Schizosaccharomyces pombe: one gene and its partners. The protein of the gene in region 3 purifies or fractionates together with the protein of the main gene of each other region. This does not show direct contact. Each region holds a gene or a part of one and is shown on either strand. Other genes may lie near its edges.

The links. The genes of interacting proteins can lie anywhere in the genome.
Region 1: the proteins of pmh1 (region 3) and tef101 purify together in Schizosaccharomyces pombe (affinity purification with mass spectrometry, with the first as the bait; one study listed by BioGRID). This does not show direct contact.
Region 2: the proteins of pmh1 (region 3) and mcs2 purify together in Schizosaccharomyces pombe (affinity purification with mass spectrometry, with the first as the bait; one study listed by BioGRID). This does not show direct contact.

The regions. Positions count from the first base shown.
Region 1 is NC_003421.2:267,393-271,516, forward strand, and holds tef101 (translation elongation factor EF-1 alpha Ef1a-a), read right to left. Parts: upstream 2,125-4,124; 5' UTR 2,088-2,124; coding exon 705-2,087; 3' UTR 563-704; downstream 1-562. Other genes in the region: protein efr3, read left to right, coding at 1-489; ugp1 (UTP-glucose-1-phosphate uridylyltransferase), read left to right, coding at 3,574-4,124. UniProt on the Schizosaccharomyces pombe protein: This protein promotes the GTP-dependent binding of aminoacyl-tRNA to the A-site of ribosomes during protein biosynthesis.
Region 2 is NC_003423.3:1,891,011-1,894,970, forward strand, and holds mcs2 (transcription factor TFIIH complex cyclin Mcs2), read left to right. Parts: upstream 1-1,969; 5' UTR 1,970-2,145; coding exon 2,146-2,418; exon of another isoform or gene 2,419-2,504; coding exon 2,505-2,578; exon of another isoform or gene 2,579-2,630; coding exon 2,631-3,252; 3' UTR 3,253-3,398; downstream 3,399-3,960. Other genes in the region: GDP/GTP exchange factor Spo14, read right to left, coding at 1-213, 260-385, 533-646; SAGA complex, phosphatidylinositol pseudokinase subunit Tra1, read right to left, coding at 3,423-3,960. UniProt on the Schizosaccharomyces pombe protein: Essential for progression through the cell cycle. Possesses kinase activity that can be detected when myelin basic protein (MBP) is provided as an exogenous substrate.
Region 3 is NC_003423.3:3,210,629-3,215,640, forward strand, and holds pmh1 (transcription factor TFIIK complex ubiquitin-protein ligase E3 subunit, Pmh1), read right to left. Parts: upstream 3,089-5,012; 5' UTR 2,923-3,088; coding exon 2,895-2,922; exon of another isoform or gene 2,843-2,894; coding exon 2,739-2,842; exon of another isoform or gene 2,678-2,738; coding exon 2,538-2,677; exon of another isoform or gene 2,527-2,537; intron 2,488-2,526; coding exon 2,414-2,487; intron 2,369-2,413; coding exon 1,900-2,368; exon of another isoform or gene 1,845-1,899; coding exon 1,703-1,844; 3' UTR 1,490-1,702; coding exon of another isoform or gene 1,122-1,489; 3' UTR 1,074-1,121; coding exon of another isoform or gene 725-1,073; 3' UTR 563-724; downstream 1-562. Other genes in the region: protein Mis20, read left to right, coding at 1-155; rRNA processing protein Rrp7, read left to right, coding at 725-1,073, 1,122-1,489; kinetochore protein Mis17 , read left to right, coding at 3,643-3,701, 3,742-4,801, 4,851-5,012. UniProt on the Schizosaccharomyces pombe protein: Acts as a component of the general transcription and DNA repair factor IIH (TFIIH or factor B), which is essential for both basal and activated transcription, and is involved in nucleotide excision repair (NER) of damaged DNA.

The sequences.
Region 1 (4,124 bases), on a different chromosome or scaffold from region 3:
AAACTAACAAATGCCTCTACCGAGGAAGTCATGTTGCCTTTGGACATGGTTGTAAATGAATTATTGGAGAAAAGCCCGAAAGTATTCCCAGAGGACTCTAGACTACTATTTGCTGAGCAATCGCGACACCCCAAGTACACCGATATTATTCAAAAATTAAAGAAACCGTCTCGCGAAAAGTCTTTTACTTCTTCTTCAGAATATTCACTTCCATTTATATCACCGGCTTCGGATTACCAACAAAATCCTTTACTTCATGCTACCAAGTCGCTCGTTTCTATTCACCAGCAATCACAACGTGGAGAAATGGTTAGCACATTGAAACAGGCTCTATCAAGGCCACACACTGCTAGTACTGTCGTACGTTCTCCGTCGGAAATAAATCTTACAAGACAAACGAGCAACCGTGTACCTCTGCTTGATATGTTGAATCTTAATCGTGCTATGTCTCCGACACCTATTCAAAGTCCTCCATATGTACGCACTTAGTTCTACATATACATATTTTGCACTTAAAAAATGAAAAAAAGAATTATCGTTGCAAATCTATATTTAACCATGCAATTTAAATTTCAATTCCTAAGTTATAAGTAAATTTAATTACTGAGTAGTATACCAAATTATATTAATCAACAATATAACATTCACTAGCCTATCCTGATTACAACAACTCAAGATCTACTTAAATCCGAAGTAAAAAATGTTTACTTCTTGGCGCCAGCCTTAACAGCGGCCTTAGTGACCTTAGCGGCACCAGGGGCAACCTTCTCAACGGCCTTGATGACACCGACAGCGACGGTTTGACGCATGTCACGGACAGCGAAACGACCAAGAGGAGCGTAGTCAGTGAAAGCTTCAACACACATAGGCTTGGAAGGAACCATCTTAGCAATGCAAGCATCACCAGACTTGACAAACTTGGGGGACTCCTCAATCTTCTTACCGGAACGACGGTCAATCTTCTCAATGAGCTCAGCGAACTTGCAAGCAATGTGAGCAGTGTGGCAATCCAAAACAGGAGAGTAACCAGCAGAGATTTGACCGGGGTGGTTAAGAATGATGACTTGAGCGGTGAAGCTAGCACAACCCATGGGAGGATCGTTCTTGGAGTCACCACAGACGTTACCACGGCGAATATCCTTGACGGAAACGTTCTTAACGTTGAAACCAACGTTGTCACCGGGAAGACCAGCGTCGAGAGACTCGTGGTGCATCTCAACAGACTTGACTTCGGTAGTGACACCAGCGGGAGCGAAGGTGACAATCATACCGGGCTTGATAACACCAGTCTCAACACGACCGACGGGAACTGTACCAATACCACCGATCTTGTAAACATCTTGAAGGGGGAGACGAAGAGGCTTGTCAGTGGGACGTGCAGGGGGCTCAATGGAGTCAATAGCCTCCAAAAGAGTCTTACCCTTGACGACACCAGCCTTGGTCTCCTTTTGCCAGCCTTGGTACCAGGGCATGTTGGTGGTGGGCTCAATCATGTTATCACCTTGGAAACCGGAGACAGGGACGAAAGGAACGGTCTTGGGGTTGAAACCGACCTTCTTGATGAAGTTGGAGGTCTCCTTAACGATTTCCTCGAAACGAGCTTGGGACCAGCCAGTGGTGTCCATCTTGTTGACGGCAACAATAAGTTGCTTGACACCCAAGGTGTAAGCAAGCAAAGCGTGCTCACGGGTTTGACCATCCTTGGAGATACCAGCCTCGAACTCACCAGTACCACCACCAATAATAAGGACAGCACAGTCAGCTTGAGAAGTACCGGTAATCATGTTCTTGATGAAATCACGGTGACCGGGGGCATCAATGACAGTAACATTGTACTTGGGAGTCTCGAACTTCCAAAGGGCAATGTCGATAGTGATACCACGTTCACGCTCGGCCTTGAGCTTGTCCAAAACCCAGGCGTACTTGAAGGAACCCTTACCCAACTCGGTGGCTTCCTTCTCGAATTTTTCAATGGTACGCTTGTCAATACCACCGCACTTGTAAATCAGGTGACCAGTGGTGGTAGACTTACCAGAATCGACGTGACCGATAACAACGACGTTAATATGTCCCTTTTCCTTGCCCATTTTTTACAATTAAATTTTTTGGCGTGTGGTGAATGACAAAGGCGAAGCATCCTTCTAGTACTACTAAGTGATTTGTGACTGCTCTCCACAAGAAAATATGTGACTACTTTTAGATGAAATCTGGTTACCGAGCTGCAGAAGACTACGGCAAATAGCTGTTAAAGTAGTTTATTGGTATGAATCTTATAGTTTATGTGGAAAAGGTGAGAAAAGCCTATGTATATTTAAAAGGACGTAAAGTCATATGTAAATAATTATTGAAGACTCTAAGGAGTTTATTCCATCATAAGCAAAGCGAGTTATAAAAAACTAAATACTATCCTATAACAACTGCATAGCAGTGTGACAAAATGTGATTAGCAATCGTTAAGCTAATATAAGAAAGTCTGCATTTTAATAATGAACTACGTCGGCCTGTGTTAAATAAATATAGCGCAATAGAACGTAGATTCATTTTTATTAACTATAAACAATAGACCTAAAAGAATGTTGAACAATAGGTAATTACAAGTGAAACACATAGAAAGGGCTTACTCGAAACAATTAATGAAGTAATAAATGACCACAATAATTCAAATCCTCTGTTAGTGTTTTTTAGAAATAGCTGATTTTCTTTATAACTCTATGTGATAGACATTTCACTATACTTGAATTGATTACCTAGCTAGTCATTGAACTAGCTATACTGAAATTTAGGCGAACAAACAGCTTTTTATCAAATTTTCAATTGCGAACGTTTTAATCTGATAATAAAAATGCATGTCAAAAAGTTGTGCAGTATGAGGAATTTTTTTGACTCTGATGGTTGTCGATAATTCCAGCAGAATCATTTAAGCAAAGTCTACTTCTTATAACAATAGAAGTATTGATATGCAAACATAGCATTGTAATCATAAGCTCTATATCTTCTAGTAACTTAAACGTTGCGAGTAATTTCTTAAGTACCATAGTTTGGACTTGTTTATTTCAGCCCAAGCAAACGATTTTCTGTTTATCTGCTTTGTTTTGAATTTAAGTTGAATAAGTTGCATCTTTACCAATCTACTTAATAAAACAAAAGACGTAAAACATAGATATAAAGTGTCTCAGTTTGTTATTTAAGGTATATTGCCCTTATTTCGAAACCATACAGAATGATTTGTCACTGTATGCAAATTAATACAGAGAAGTTTTATTAAATTCACTTATAGAATAAAAAACAAATTGTATCTAATAGTTTTGAGTCTTTTTGTCGAGAACTGACTGTAATAAGACTTAGTGATAGATATACACAATAAAAGAAACTTGGACATTTTTGACACAAAATAACTTGTCGTAATTATCTTTCTAATCCATAGCAGAAAAGAATCCGCCAGTATCTGAACAAGGAGGATATCAAGTGAAAAAGATCACGTTGGAACATCGGAGTGTATATCGTTAAAACTAGTGGTTCATTTCATCCTACCACTCTCACCCCAAAAAGTGGGAGAATCGACAAAACTCCAAAATGTTGCATCGTCGAATTCATTTTAAATCACAGTCCACTTTGGACTTTGACAGTGTTGCAGTTAGCATATCTGCCAGTACGATGAAAAACGAATTAGATAAACTTGTACTGAATTCCAGAGTTTCGGATAAAAAAACGTTTGGCATACAAATGGACAACTTCTTTGCTTTGTATAGAAGATATTTATTACACACAGTTAAAGGTTATGAATGTGATTGGGATTCTATCCGGCCTCTGGGACCCGAAGACATGATAGATTACGGTGATTTACCGTTATGCAAAAATGCTGGAAAGTACTTAAATCGGCTTGCAGTTGTTAAATTAAATGGAGGTATGGGAAATGCGTTGGGTGTGAATTATCCTAAAGCCATGATTGAGGTTCGTGACAATCAAAGTTTCCTCGACCTTAGCATTCGCCAAATCGAATATCTTAACAGACGGTACGATGTGTCCGTGCCTTTCATTTTAATGAACTCTTACGATACAAATGATGAAACCTGTAAAGTTCTTCGAAAATATGCAGGCTGCAAGATTGATATTTCTACTTTCGA
Region 2 (3,960 bases), 1.3 Mb from region 3:
GGAGATGATAAAAAAACTTTTATTAGTGCAAGATATACAAATTGCATCGTGTAATGGCTCAAATAAACATAACCTTTGATATTGTTCATCATTGTCAAAATCGGTTAACCTGAGAGCGTTCTTTTCCTCAAATAGTTTATCCTTTCTTCCATATAAACGTAAATGGTCAATTAACTTTCCGTCAATGGTGTTATTAATACCGGCTATTAATTCCTACAATTTAATTTCGTTAGCTATGCAATAAAAAAATATTGCATACATTTTTAAAATAACCCAACGACATAACGGCATCATCCGAATGCTTAAGTTCGATTTCTCCATGTTCTATAAATTTTGTATGACCTTCACCAACTTCAGGTTCATAGTCTTCATATGATAATAACTTCTAAATTCGACAAACTAATTAGCGCCTATAGTCCAATTGTAAAACATAATCTTTTTAGCTAACAATCCGGATACTAAAAAGTTTATAATGCTGTAAAATAGATAGATAATGAAGTAATCCTTCACTTACAGTCACGAATTGACATACCAATTTGTTTTTAACACCAGATTTTGTAGTTCCTCCTCCACCACCAACCGCCATTTGATGGTTATTAATCCAACAAAGAGAATAAGCTGGAAAAGAAAGGTGGAGTTCAGCCATTTTGATCTAATAATTAGAAAACACTTTAAGCTGGATACGAGGAATAGGAATGTATTGAAAAAATAAATCGATATCGGCGACGAATCAAAAAAAAATTCTACTTATTAGTGAGCAAATCAATAAAGTACACTTACAAGAATTCCACTAAAAAAAAACAATGTCTATTTGAATACGGTGGTGTGGGTATGTTTCGAAATCGCTGTGAACCTACTTCGAGACTTAAGCAAATACTGTAAGAATATTAGATCCCCGTATCAGAATCTATCGAATAATATCGACATCACTATCCTCTTTTACGTATTTAGGCGATGTTTAATATATACATAAGTTTTTATCCATTTTTTTATGACAGTAGAGAAAAGATTTAATTAGAGATAACCTAAATCCTTATTGACTTAAAAAAGGATGATACTTACTTGTGGATATTTATTTGCGAAGAATCTTTGAACAAACAGAAACTTATAATAGATTCTTTCTAAATCTCGGAGCATATTCTGGCTCATTTTATATTTATATTTTCCTTTTCAGCTTTTTAGAACTCAATTCCGACCTCAGTTTGGTTGCAACTTTGCTACAGACACTATTTAATATCTCGGTCTCCTGTACATTTTACCAGGTTTACGTTGTATTGTTTATATAGTTTATATAGCAATATTTACTACATGTTCATCATATTACGAAAATAGATTAAGAGAACTGGGGAAAGAGTGAGGAGATGAGAAATTTTCGGATTTATTTATAATTTCCAATTATTATTTTTAAGACGAAATTGCCGCGAGACTACATTGTCCATGAAATTAATGTTTGTGTTTATTCTACTAAAGGGTATGAATGCTCGATCTCGTGCCAAGGTGCCTACAATCTTAATACGCCGCTGCCTGTGTATGATTATAATATTACTTCTGTTTTTTGCACAGAAAGCGTGTTTCATTTCAAAGATTGACTTCCAATTAAATTTAATTAATAATATGTTGTTTCATTTCCTTATTTAACTACCAATTCTTGTTCATTTGCAATTCACTCAAATATGTAACTGAACGTTGTCAGGTAATTTTTTGGCTTTAAATGATATGCCTCAATGGAATATAAAAAAGCATAATCCTATATAACTATTGTTTTTTTCAGCTTCGTTTCAGTGAAATGTTATGCTGATACAAATTGATTGAAACATGAATGCAAGACTTTTTTCAACTCAACAATATTTTATTTATTAGTAAATTTTAGTTTATGTAATAAACTCTTCATTAAATTAATATAACTTTATAGTGCTGCTTTCTTTTTGCACATCGCACATTAATTGCAAAAACTCTCTTCTCCACATCCAGGGTATCTGATGTCCTCGACAAAGTCTCAGCGAACGAGCGATTTGGGTTTTTCATAGCAGAGAAGTATCCAAATTTCAAAAATATTATTATTTTACTGGCTTTATAGAGAAGTATTTAAATTTTTGCATAACCCTCAATTGATAGAGTGCTGTAAATTCTACTTACATTATTCACATGTCTGCCGATAAATTTCGTGATTCCACGCATTACAGAGATTGGATTTTTACGGAAGAAGACCTTTCAAAAACACGTGCTAAAGTAAATGAAAAATTTACGAATATTGTACGTGAGCGAATGCTGGAAGAGTTGTCTTTACAAAACAAGGAAGCATCCTTAGAAGTTTTGCCTCCAACTCTTACCGTTGAAGAAGAACTTGAACTTGTAAATTATTATAGTTTCCAGTTGAACGCACTTTCTTCCGCTCTTTCCTTACCAACTCATATTCGCGTATGTTTAGACATGGTCGGATTTCCTTCAATTACTTGGAAACTGTACTCAATATAAACATTCCGACTTTACTCACAAAATTTTAGTCCACGGCCATTCTTTTTTTTAAACGCTTTTATCTAATTAACTCTGTCATGGAGTATAGTCCAAAAATTATTTCGTATGTTTAAGTCGCCGAGTCCATTAAGCTAACATTGTTTTTCTTACATTAGGTTTACTTCTTTATTTTTAGCTACCAAGTGCAACGATCATTATATCTCTATTGAACAATTCTGTAAAAACATGCCCAAGACGACTCCCGAAGAAGTTCTTGAATACGAATTTAACGTTTGTCAATCATTAAAATGGGACCTTTACGTCTGGCTTCCATTTCGTCCTTTACAAGGCTTCCTTTTAGATTGTCAAACAGTGCTTCCGAAAGTTGCTGTCGAAAAGTTTTACGAATGTCATGACCTTTCCAAAAAATTCCTAATTGAGACATTGCATTCTGACATCTATTTCTTACATTCACCCAGCATAATTGCTTTGGGTGCTATTTATCATACGAATCCAACTATTTGTTTACAATATATAGAAGCAAAAAAAATTCCAGAACTGCAACCTTTGATAATTTCGATTTCTGCCAATTTGAAAGCTACAAAAAAATTTAAGATTGAGAAAAAAAAGGCACAAGATTACGGCAGAAAGCTATATTTCTGCATGAATCCTCTGCGAAACAAGTCTAGTGCTTTGTACCTTAAACGAAAAGCGGAAGAAGAATCAACTAATAACAACAAATGGGCTAAAAAGTTCTCAACCAGCAGTAATGTGTTGGATAAAAATCCGTTTGAATGATTCTTTCTTTGAAAAGTGCTAAATTTACTTCAATAGTCATTATTCGTCAATTTTTTTTACGACAAAATAGTTTACGTTTATAAAAAATTCCCAGTAAAATTCACTATCAAGTGTGTCTCATTAATTATTTTTAATGTCTATTTGTAAAATTAAAAACATTTTCATTTCTCTCACAGCCAAGGAGCCCATAAGACGTCCATCTGTGCCAAAACTTTGGAACTAGAGGCTTGCGCCAAATAATCAATAGCTGTTTGATTGACTGGTAAGTTACCATAAGCAACCTGACTTAATGATGCAACCCTTCGCATTATAAGATCAGTATTGCTATTGACTTTGTTGAGCATACTGAAATCTGCCGGCACGCCTTTAGTTTGCTGTGCAAGCCACCAAAAAAGATCATCTCTAATAAAGATACCCAAGTACATATCCAAATCGAAATCCGGTTTGGAGAGCGCGCGAGCTATAGCCATTATTGAAGGGCCCAGTAAACCTTCAGTACAAGTTTTTCCAATAAATTCTTTAATGTTGGGGGTAAAGCGAAAAGGAACAATTTCTCCATTATGGTAAACTGGAGTAGAAGAAACCATAGATGGCAGCGCTTCTGTTGTCCAAACACCGCCAGAGTCTCTAGAAAAAACAAGCTTAGCAGGTATCCTATTATTTATACTTAGTATGTATGTAATAAATGAAAAACAAGCATATTGGTAT
Region 3 (5,012 bases):
CAGACTCATCCTCACCGTTGAGAAAACTTAGCCCTATAGAGCTTCCTGTGACTCCAATAAGACGCAAAACCCCTACAATTAACCCAAACTCAGAACTTAAAAGACTTCAAACTTTTGGAAAACTGATTTTGCATAAGGGAAGTCGTAGAAGGTAGTGAGTCCAATCGAACAAGAAGTATACAATAACGTTTCTTTGTTATTACGAAAAATTTTGAATGACCATTTTATAATGCAAAAAGTTACCTTAAGCGTGTGCAGTAATTTATTCAAATATCAATAATCCTTTTAAATGACTATACCGAGCACTATACTTTGTATGAGTAGGCTATAAGGATCTTTTTTAAAAACGTTTATCTTGGTTAGGAACACTAAATGCAATTAGCAACCACGCATATCAATATAGCTGTATTTTTTTATTAATTTACAATCCAACACCTCTAGCTCCCAATTCAATTATTACATTGCTTTTTGGAGCTTTTATTTAGCAGCAAATAAATTACAAGTTGTATAATTACATTTTTTTTTTAATCCTAGAAAATAAGCAAATCTTAGTTTAATTTTCGCTTATTCTAACATTCTTAATGTATATTGTATATAATAATAATTATAGTCACAACGAGATGAAGTATGCGAAGGTATAAGAGTATACAGCTCCTATGGTCTTGCCCTCGGTCAAGCTCAGTAACAAATTGCATTTTACCCAAGAACCAAACAACTCATATAAATGGACAAGCTCAAAGAAAAAGGGTTTGTTAAACTAGAAATTTATTTGGAAAATAAAAAGAGGTTGCATAGTATATTTTTGAAAGAAGACACGGAAGATGTTGAAAAGAAGTCACTGTATTTGATTAATGTTCCTATCACAACTACTGAAAAGATTTTGAAAAGAGCAATTTCTCAATTGGGCGGTCGTATCGTTAATATCTATCCTAATATTAGTGGCCTTTTGAAAAGTGGCACCCATTTACGCGTCAAATTAGTCGAGCCCGCTGAAGTTAAACAAGTTATCAAGGCAGCTTCTAAAAAGACGACCTCGCTTCCTTGGAAGTTCACACAGCATACTGGTTTGAAACGTAAGAACATGGTCATTATTTTTTTGGAAATACTAATGTGTTTAATAGGTTATGTAGAAAGTTATGATAGACAGTTTGTCAATCCACGTGTTCTAGCCGAAAGTGTTGATTCATACATGAAACGTGTTACTAAAAAGGAAATAGCAGAAAAGAGGAGACTATTCGCTATGAAAAATCAACCTGATGAAGATGGATTCGTAACGGTCGTTCGCAGCGGCCGGGCACCTGTCGGGCGACCTCAGGATGCTGAGCGTCAATTGGAAAAGAAAAAAGACACTGGGATCCACAAAGATTTTTACCGTTTCCAGCTTCGGGAAAAGAAAAAGAAGGCTCTTTTGGATTTAGCTCATAAGTTTGAGTTCGATAAACAGCGTATCCAACAATTAAAAGAAAAGCGGCAATTCAAACCGTATTAATATTATAGGTTTTAATCTTTTTGGGAGCATCACAAGGATTTGTTTTAGTTTGTATATTTTAGGGATAATGGTAATATACAAAGGCTATGATTTACTAATACAAAGAATAAAGTATACTTACCACAAACGTATATAAATATATTAGTATGAAAATGGAATAGTCGTTTACTTAAAAATGAAATGTAACTGCATGGTGAGAGCATTAAAGCAAGACTAACTTGCTACTTCAAGTTTTTTGAGACTTTCTAAATCGTAATCAATGCCACTAAAAGCCTCATATAAGCATCGCAAATGACAATCTTCTATACGGAAACCGCATTTGCGGCCTGGTTCATGCGAAACTTTTTCCAAATATCTAATCGAGTTGTTAGTATGATATTTATGGGTGATGCTACAAAATTGACACTTACAAATCTTGATAGGTGTTTTTGGAGTATGAAAAATACTTGCTCCCATCTTTTTCTCCAGCAAGAGGACTAAAAGGCGTAGTATCCTCTGCTACTTGCTGAACATCAGATAGAAGAATTGAAGATGAACGTGAAATGTTTGAAACCGAAGAGGCAATGTTTTCTTGTTGCTTTTTAAGGGAATCAGATAGTTGGATAATTTTGTTAGGATCTTTTCCTGATGTAGCTAAATCAAAAATAATTTGTTGCTCAACCTGTTCACGTCTTTCCTTTTCTTTTTGATGCTCACGTATAGCCGCTTCTCTTGCTTCTTGCTTTTGGCGTTTGAGAAGAATCTCGTTTTGAGCCAAAATGCGTGCTTCTGCGGCGGCTCTTGCAGAATTTGCTGCTATAGAATCTCGATTTTGTTTTTCATATTGTTTAACTTTTTCCTCAGTTTCTTCAACGTCGATTTTATAAATCAAATTAAATGCTAAAAAAAATTGTTAATAAAATTCTGACGCTGTCAATAACATACTTAAAATTTCAACTTCTTCCAAGTAGTCATTGTAAGCCTGCAAGCTGTCAAATTCTTGCTGTCCTTTGTTAAAGCTAAAAACGCACGTTAGAGTAAATTAAAAAAAAAGCTACAGTGTTCGTACATTCGAGATATCCGCTTCCGAACATCGACTTCGCGCTCAATTTGAGCATCTTCAAATGTTTGCTCTCGAAATTTGGCTTTTCTGAGAATTTTGTTGCACCCAGGAGTAGGGCATTGAGCAGGTCCAGTTGTAAATATTCTCTATGAATTAGCAAATCATGCTTCATTTCTTATTTGTATTAACAAATGCAATCAAACATACGTCTACACAAGACTCACACATCTTGTGATAGCACTCAGGGTTTATAAGTAATTTCATATTTGGATTTAAATATCTGTCCGCCTGGCACAACGGACATTTTTCATCTATATGTCTCGGTCAGCTTTAAAATAAATCAGGTAATTAATTAATGCTTACCAACTTTCCTAGCACCTTCATCGTCCATCTTTCTTTTATAGTTTACTTTTATTAATTCGTATTATGCAGTGAACGGGAATGACAAACGATAAATTCAAAGTTTCAATCGAATTTATGTTGAATAGTAAACGTTACTTTTCGGATTGTATAAAGAAATAATATTTGGACAAAAAAAGCGCGCAATACGTGGTGTTAAACTTTTAGAAGTAGTCGCCTTCAATATTACAAACACGACGACCATCAACTCATTCCCTAGCTACCAGCTATCTAAAGTCTTTTGAGTCCAAAAATACGAAAATTTAGATTAATGTAATAATAATTATTGAACCAACATAAATATTAACTAAATTTGGTTCCGTTTGTCGTATAACTTGGTAATTTCTATGTATACGGGCATGCAATCAGAAAACTTAATGGACATTTACTAAATTTGATCAGTTTGTTAAAAAATAAAATTATCTATTTTATTCTCACATAGGAGTTTGGAAAATTTTCAATAGTTACGAACTTGAATTTGAATGTTTTATATATATGTCGAACATTTAACTATTAAACTACATAGGTGTAATTTGTTTGCTTTATGAATACGTAGTTTAAAATATATGGTGTTAAAATTATTATTTGGGCTGTACAAAGAATAGCTAAAATCAATTCATGACTAGAAAGAAAGGCTGGATGAATTCGTCAACTACCAAAACCCCATGTTTGACTATACGCGTAGAAAAGCAAAAATTTTGCATGAAATATTATGGAAAATAACTCCCATAACGTAGATGAGCGACGAGCAGCACGAATGCGTGGAGCTGAGTATGTTATTTCAAAACTTTGTAAAAATTAACCAATGTAGACGCTACAAAATTCAAAATGTTGAGTTTTCATTAGATCAAAACCTTCTGGCCAATTTAGAGTCATCTACTTCTAGTTCAACTCGTTCTTCGCCTGCTTCAAACCAACAAAACCTTGAAATTGTATCTCAATCAGAGGCATATCATAAAATTAGCGATTTGGATGACAGTACATCTATTTTTTCTATTTCCGATCAAGAAAATATACTTGAAAGAAGGATTTCTGAAGAAGTAGTTCGGGAAAATTCCGTTTCCAGCATCGAAAATGTATCTTCATCGGCTGTCGCACGTGAGACGCAGAGTAGCGCAAATATTTTAGTCAAAGACAATCATTTTTTTTCTCATAAGCAGAAAAAAATACAAAGGGAATCCATTCCGTTTCACAAACGTGATAATATAGAAACCTCTGATGCATATAGTTCTTCAATCCTAGAAAATTCACCACCTAACAAAGTACAAAGGCTGTCATCTCTCGACTCATCTCAAGATTCGTTCCAAGAGGAACATCCAGGCAATGTGACAGGAACAACATTTAGTTCTCAGGCCCCTGAAGAGCGAATTGCTTCTCCTATCTCCACTTCTTCTCCGGAATCTTTGACGAATCAAAGTAGTAGTCTGCAAAGTTCCTTACAGACATCATCAATGGCTCCTAGAAATCTTTTGGATCAATCAACAGAAAAGGATATTGTAGTGGGAGCCTCAGATGAGCTCGTGCGTATCGAGTTAACCAAACTTTCTAAAGAAGCAGGAGGGTCAAAGACTCTTAATGAGCTTGATGCCGTACAGCAATTTTTTCAAGAATTTATAAAAGAGAATGAGCCACTAGAACCCTATGTAGTCAAGGTAAAAAATGCGTTTGTGGAACAAGTTTCTATTCGTTTACTAGAGTTAATAGACTTGCTGGACGCTAATCGAATTTTATCAACAGCTTGTAAAAAAGCAGCAAATGAGAAACTAGCTGTTCAACGGGATCTCTCGAAATTGAGGGAAGATCGACTATCAGTGCAACGTAAAAAAATACAGTTACGAAATGAGTACATTAAATTGTCCCATCAACAAAACGTACGCATAACATTGGCTCTTTAATTTACGCTTAACTAACTTAATATAGTTTTTGGATGATATTGACGATTTCTTCTCACAATGCGAAACAGTGAAAAACGAATTAGAAAATGTAACCACAACTCCAAACTCTACCGAAGCTTTTTCAGAAATAAATGAATATGCGTCTGCTTTATCAAAAAATTATGGACTCGAATCGCAGCTAGTTGAA